2 linked regions of the Caenorhabditis elegans genome follow. The protein of the gene in region 1 purifies or fractionates together with the protein of each later gene. This does not show direct contact. Each region holds a gene or a part of one and is shown in the gene's direction. Other genes may lie near its edges.

The links. Proteins that work in one complex are often made in the same cells at the same time.
Region 2: the proteins of ceh-93 (region 1) and Y105C5B.9 fractionate together in Caenorhabditis elegans (co-fractionation; one large-scale study listed by BioGRID). This does not show direct contact.

What each region holds. Positions count from the first base shown.
Region 1 is NC_003284.9:386,819-390,572, reverse strand, and holds the start of ceh-93 (Homeobox domain-containing protein), read left to right. Parts: upstream 1-1,775; 5' UTR 1,776-1,781; coding exon 1,782-1,838; intron 1,839-1,885; coding exon 1,886-1,966; intron 1,967-2,011; coding exon 2,012-2,164; intron 2,165-2,636; coding exon 2,637-2,802; intron 2,803-3,334; coding exon 3,335-3,687; intron 3,688-3,743; coding exon 3,744-3,754. Other genes in the region: R04A9.9 (NR LBD domain-containing protein), read left to right, coding at 85-87, 145-228, 311-361, 640-735, 850-1,002.
Region 2 is NC_003282.8:15,928,462-15,932,215, forward strand, and holds Y105C5B.9 (Phytanoyl-CoA dioxygenase domain-containing protein 1 homolog), read left to right. Parts: upstream 1-2,119; 5' UTR 2,120-2,121; coding exon 2,122-2,289; intron 2,290-2,466; coding exon 2,467-2,863; intron 2,864-2,870; exon of another isoform or gene 2,871-2,956; intron 2,957-3,011; coding exon 3,012-3,313; 3' UTR 3,314-3,355; downstream 3,356-3,754. Other genes in the region: srv-16 (G-protein coupled receptors family 1 profile domain-containing protein), read right to left, coding at 3,361-3,499, 3,643-3,754. UniProt on the Caenorhabditis elegans protein: Has alpha-ketoglutarate-dependent dioxygenase activity. Does not show detectable activity towards fatty acid CoA thioesters. Is not expected to be active with phytanoyl CoA.

The sequences.
Region 1 (3,754 bases):
CTCCCCAACACATTTTTTTTCAGACTACATATACACACGTTTTGGAACTCTTTTTATTGTTTTTCTCGATGAGTCCAGAAGAAAATGGTAGGGTAATCTAGTCATCTGATTTTAAAACTACAAAATACGGAATTTTTTTTTCAGATTTTAAATAAAAACAAAAACCAAAGCAAGGTGATGCCCAATCTAAATGTAAAAAGTGATATGGTTTTGACAGAGGAGGAAATTGTAGGTCGATTTGTTTTGTTTCTTTTTGGAAAATTACAACTAATTTGTTAGCCTTCATAAAAAATTTGTTCATTGCTTTCAGAAAAAATACAACGGTAAAGTGCTGGCATTACATCGACTTTTATCGAATAAGGTGAAGGTTTTTTTTTTTTGCTTTTTAGCAATTTGTCAAAACACATTTTGAAATGTGTTATAATATGTTGTTAAAATGAAAAAAGTGCTTCGAACTATACCTAGGACGATACCTAAGACGGTCAAAACTTTTCAAAAATTCCGTCAAGCAAAAACTGATAGTTAACAACATACATTCTCAAATTGTCAGAAAAATCGAAAGCCCACGAAAAAAGTTATGATTTTTGACCCAGAACTTATTTCAACGGATAGTTGTATGATAAAACGTGATTTTTACAGAAATATCGCAAACTGGATGAAAACGTTGACTATATAGAATTTGTGCAAAAAGGGTTTATGTATCTTTTATCAATTGGAAGACAGGAGTACAATAAGGTAAGTTCTGAAACTAATTATTTCATGAAGATTTTTAAAAACGTGGGCATGATTTTTTCATAAATTTGGAAAAAAAAGCCTTTCATTACAAGAACACATCACGTTTTCTTCCAGACGGACAAAGCGAAATGCGATTTTTTGATCAGGAGAATTCGAATCGTTGAAGATGCATTAATTAGAACCATTATTTTGGGCGAAGACTTCACAAAAATCATTGCACAATCGGAGCACCTCCTGGAACGATTTTTCCCCAAAATTTTATTTTAATCATATTTACTAACAAAAGTTCACTTAGAAACCGTGTATAAAAATTTATTCATTATTCTGTTATCAACAAATTTGATTAATATTACCTCATCTTCAGAATTTTGCTTCAAGATTTCAAGAACGGCAAATTCGATCAATTTGCCATGCTGGACAAACTACGAAAGTCAAGAAAATTTGTTGATATTTCTAAGAGCACCAAAATTACTGACTTCTAAGCACAAGTGTAATTAAAAAAAACATTAGTTTATGTCGGCCTACATAGCATTTAAAATAACTCAATTTTATAATATTTTACTGTAACTTTTTAAATTAATCAATAGTTTCGGTCAAATTTTTTATAATCCAATTAGTGGCGTGTTCGGCAAATTCAGCAAATTTGCTGAGCTCGGCAAACTGCAAATTCGGCAAACGAATTCAACACGAGAAGTATTGAAAAGCAGCGATTAGCGTCAAAAATAAAAAAAGTTGTTTCGAGTGAGAACTTTTTATGTGCAAGTTTCAAAGCGAAAATTATTGTTTTTTTTTTCGAATTAAAAATTTAAACCGTTCTTTTGACAGAAAAAATTGTTATATTTTTTGCTCTTGTCGTTTCAGAATGCAACCGCGCTCCAACACAAACATAACACTGCGTCTCTAATTCTTCACACACACTCTCTTCGAATTGTCTCCCGCGTACCCCACCAATCATCGATTCTGAAACGATTCAGTTTTACTCCATTATTTTACTCTATTTTCTTTTGCTTTTCCATCGAACGAAAACAAGCTAATTTCAGAATGCAATGAACAGATCAAACGAATTTGAGTGGAAGATTCCAAAATTGGAGGAGCCTGAGAATGCAAGTTTTTTAATGTTTTTTTCTTACAATTTTTCCATGTTTTTCAGATTCAAGATGTAAATTTATTTGAAGAAACTGAACCGGAAAAATTTACAAAAGGATATATCAAAGAAGAACTTCCCGATAAGGTAGAAATATTAGACTTTACCTACTAGATTAGTTTGTTTACACAGATTTGCTCAACTGTTCGAAAAGTGATTAAAATTCCACGATCGGCTCTGGAAAAGGTGGGAGTTCGTTTGCATGATGATGAACAAAAACCTACTCATTTGCTATCTGACGACATAAAAACAGAACCTATTGAAGAAGCTACACATGTGAACGTCGTAAGTTTTTAAGAGAAAATAATAAGATATACAAACCGATCCTAATATCTACCACAGTGAACGTCAAATGCAAAACTAACAATTTTCAATAATAGATTTTAGAATAGAAATAGTAGAATAGAACTTTGCAATAATTTGTAAGATTACTTGTAGCCCTAATATTTCTTCATTGGTTTCCTGTCACACTAGCTGTGGAATTTTTGTTATTTCTCACTGACAGATGATCAAACTGAAACTATGAAAAACTGCTCAACCTTTCAGTTCTTAACGTCACCAAACGAAGTATTTTTTTTTCAAAATGTAGCACATTCGAAAATTAGTCAGGTACTAGGTAATGAAGACTGGAAGTCTTTGTTTTTTGTGTATTTCTTTTTTCAGAATCACGCAAATGAAAGAAGTGCTTTTTTTGACAACTCATAACTTTAATGATAACTTTACTTAACTCCCATGCTCAACTCAGTTTCTATTCCAGATTCAAACTCCGAGTTGGAAACCAAAGTTTCAGTGCATTTCTGATCTTCTCAAAGATGATACAACTGATTTTGATTGCGAAATGTCACTGGGAAGTTCTGTGCTGTTTGATCGCCCGGATTCGTCTTTGCCAATTAAAAAGATCTGTCCAGGATTCCCAAAGAAAGGTAACTGAATTGCGCTACAAATAAAATACTATTCAGCTACTATATATAAAGCGCTTATTCTGTGTGTCCATAGTTTGTGGTCAATGTAGTCTTTGTAGTCTGTGAAGTTTTGGCTTCTGGAGGGATAGTGAGTTGGGGTTAGTGTAGGGATATAGTCGGGGTACTGTAGTGGTACAATAGTGGTACGGTAGGAATACTGTAGGGTTACGGTAGTTTTATAAAAAAATTAATTTTCAGCCACAGAAGTCGGGGGCCGCGCCGAAGGTGCGGTCCACGGCTGGTTCAGCTATAAATCATATCATCTAATTTATACTAAATTGATAATGATAAGTATAACTTTATAATGAATAAATAATAACTTGATAATGAATAACTTTTAATCAATCGTCTGATATTTCTAGATAGTTTGTAGAAAAAAAGTTTGATTTTTTGATGTATGATGCAATTTATACACACGCCAAAGTAATTAAAAGGCAGCCCCGGAAATGTCGATCGCTGTGCAGACAAAATGTATCTAATATCAAAATTTCAGTGGGAAGTATTCCATCCAACAAAAGGATCATGTCTGAAAGCCAAGTGAGACGAGAGTTGAACGCTAGTTTTGCAAGAAACTGCCACCCAACAGCGATTGGAATGCAGAAACTATCCGAACGGTGTGGAATACGATACAAGACAATTTTTGACAATTTTGAGACAATTAGAAAAGACGGAAAAATTGAATGTGAGACAAATGACGCGTGTTGTCGAATTCGGGAGTTTTTGTCTCGTGAAACGGATACTACTTCCTACATAGAAATTACGAACGAAGTGCAAACTGTATTGGAGGACGAGATTGAACTTCACCTTCTCTCACGGAAAAGGTTCACTCTTGGATATGTTCATGTGGTAAAATAAATCAAATATGATGAATAAAGCATTTGAACAAAAAATTTTGTTTTCAGATAATGGAGAA
Region 2 (3,754 bases), on another chromosome or scaffold:
TTGAGTGTTGATTTTGTCCAGATTGTTCAAAAATTGTTACTTTTCTGGAAAACTCTTAAACTCATTTAAATATTTGAAATTCAGCGTTGATTTTTTAATGGAACAATTCCAAAAAACAACAATGTTCTAAAATTTAAAAAAAAAACGAACTCGACAAAAAAGTCAAACCGGAAAAACAAAAAACAACCCCCGTTCCAATTAAAAATCAGCTGTCATTTTTTTCACAGAAAGGAAGTAAATCTTCAACTTAGAGAAAAAAAAGTATACCTATTTGTCTCTTCAAGGCGACGTATGCCTACCTCCACGAGTGTCTACTTATACCGTCAAAAACTAGGTAGTTTGCGCCAAAGCGTCAAAAGAAGAGCGGTAGGCAAGAAAGTAGGCAGGCAGGCAGGCAGGCAGGCATAAAAAAGGTAGGCATGAATCAGGCATATTTTGATTTTGCTCCCCATTTCTTGGCTTTTGAGTCAAATTTTTATTGATTACACTTTAAAAGTTAACGGAGCAAACATAATAACTCATGACAAAAAGAAAAATAATAATTGCTCAAAAATTTTTGCCTACGCTCTTAATGAACAGGTATAAGATGTGATCGGTAATTTTAGAGGCCGAATTTTTTAATAAAAAGGACATGTTTTTGTTTCTAGGTTTTCGTTGAAACAACAATTATTTTCTGTGGTATTTTGATGTCAACCGGGAAGTATGGCACCGAAGCCAACTGTTGACTTAGCTTCAAAATTACCTACGCCTGCCTGGTGCCTACATGGGTGCCTTCAATCCAAGATTTTATGTTCAATTCAACATTTATATTGGAATATTGGAAATTGGAGTTTTTCGTCAGAATAGGCGCTAGGTAGGTATGTAAAAACGTGCCTACTTAGAGTTTGAGCCAGCCTAATCGCATTTCTTCAAGTTCTAATCGGATTCTCCTTTTCAACTCTTACACCGATTCCAATGAAAACATCCAAGCCAATATGATGGTAATGAAACATAAGTTTTTATAAATTGAAATGACTTTAATTTTTTGTGCCATTCTTCTTTAGAATTATCGAAAAGTTGAAACGCAAATAAATTTTAGTTTTTCCCAGCTTACTTTAATTTTTCTAAAGGGGTTTTTTGTCAAAAATTATATTTTTTTGAAGTTAATCTAAAGCAGAAGAAAAAAAAGCAGCACATTATTTCACCTTTTCTCGAAAATTGAATAATAATTTCTCGCACATTTGTCCTACCTAATGAACCCCTTAGGGATGTGCTCTTTCAAAAATAGATTATTATGATTATTATGAGGCAGGCTTTTACACTAAAAGTGAATGAAAGTGTGAGTATTGCAGAATTGTTGCAAATTTGCGTTTCAAAAGAACAAGTTGAGAATTTGAAAAAAAAATAACATTAATTTATTGCCAAGTGCATTGAAATCGAAAAAATTTTCGGTTCAGTTTTTATATAAATATTCTGAAACCGCACTTTTTTTTTATTTCTAGATTTTTTTCTTTTTCTCTCAAATCACCAATTTTCCCGCCACGTGTCAATTCGGTCGTTTACGTGACCACAATTAGACAATAAAAAAACAAGTATCAAGTCACCATTGCTGATATGATAAGCATCATGATGGCACCTACTGATAAGATAGTTCGCCTAGCCTACCCATTTTATTGTGGCTACTCTCGGTTCTTTTACTGTTTTTTCTTGTTGAGAAAAGTGTAGTTTTTTTTTTTCAATTAAAATTTTCATGGCTACGTACCCACCTACTTACCTGCCAACCTTCGTGCCTGCCTACCTACGTGCCTGCCTACCTACGTACACGCCTAGACTAACATGTTTCTCAATTTTATTGATCCTTTTGAAGGTTCAGTTTTAAAAATTGTCCGGTAGCACAGGCAAGGCAGGCAGATAGGCATTTTGGTGCCTACATTTGTGCCTTCTACCAGTATTTTGTTTTTGGTTAAAAAAAAAAAGGAAACCCAGAAAAAATTGATTAAAATGAGATATAGGTATATATAGGATATATAGGCACGATAAAGTAGTAAATCATTCAGGCAGCAGGCACCCAGGTAGGCAGGCACGCCTGAACACATGCCTACATATCTTGACGCCCCAAACTAACCGATTTTTGTTCCAGAAATGTGGGATCTTCGCGAAAAATTCGAAAGAGATGGATTTGTGGTAGTTGAAAATGTATTTAATGATCAGGAGATTGATGAGATGAAAAAATCGATTTCAAAAATTGTAAACGATATGGATTTGGCAGAACATCCGAAAAGTGTCTTTTCAACTTATGATGAGGATAAAGTAATTTTTTTTTGAAATTTGAAATATGAAATTTATAGAATTTTTGAAACAGTTGAAATGTTTCCTCTTTTTTTAATGAAAAAATATCAAAAAAATATCAAAAAAACTGTTGCAATAAAGTTTAAATTATCGATTTTCTAAGAATGCTTAAGAAAAAATCGATAATCAATCTTCCAGCACGCAGCGGACTCCTACTTCCTCAACAGCTCCGACAAAATCCGATTCTTTTTCGAAGAGGGAGCTGTGGATAAGGACGGGGAGCTCACGGTGCCCAAGGACAAGGCTCTCAACAAAATCGGTCACGGCCTGCACTTTCTGGATCCAACTTTTGAGAAGATGACGTTCAACTCGAAAATTCAAAATATCTTCAAGGAAATTGGATATCAGGAGCCCGGCGTCGTGCAGAGCATGTACATTTTCAAGCAGCCAAAAATCGGCGGAGCAGTGACGGACCACGTGGACTCTACGTTCCTTCGAGTGGACCCTATTGATCATCTTACAGGAGTTTGGATAGCAATTGATGAAGCCAGCGTGGAGAATGGATGTCTTTCCTTTATCCCGGGAAGTCACAAAGGTGAGGCAAAAAATATTCTCCCCGGCCGGGAATTGAACCCGGGTCTCGCATGTGACAGACGCGGATACTCACCACTATACTACCGAGGACATGTTTTTGCGTGCGCCCTTAGTGCGTACACAAACGATTCATTTCTCTTTTTTTGCAGACACTTCCTCCGCGAACTATCGATTCGTGCGAACCCATGACACGTCGGGAGGTGCTCTTCTTAAATTCATTGGCACTCGTCCAACATACGATCAATCCAAATTCCAGCATGTCCCCATTTCCAAAGGATCCTTGATTCTTATCCACGGCCTAGTGGTCCATAAAAGTGAAGCGAACACATCGGAAAAGTCACGTCACGCGTACACGATCCACGTCATGGAGCGGAAGAACACAAAATGGAGCGAACAGAATTGGCTTCAGGAGACCGAAAACTATAAGTTCCCAGATTTGTATAAAGATTAATTTTTAAAAGTTTAATTGAAATAAATTTGCAAAATAAATTAATATAATCATTGAACAAATGTGATAGGTGTGACCGATGTGATTTTTAATTTTTTCTTGGTGAAGCCTAGCCGTTGCAGGATATATTTTCGGAGAGAATCGGAGAAAACCCAGAGAAGATATGGGTTGATACTTGCGTAGAGGTCGCTGAAAGTAAGGTGTTTCATCTAGGCACCAAATGACCCAACTTCTCGTGTCCTCGGTAGTATAGTGGTGAGTATCCGCGTCTGTCACATGCGAGACCCGGGTTCAATTCCCGGCCGGGGAGAACTTTTTTTTCGCCGACTTACCTCACTGCGTTATACACCAAATAGAACTGATCAGAGGTGAATGCCAAGATATCTGCGCCTTTGAAAATGAAAAGTATGAGAATGCACATCTGCACACCCACAATTATTGTGC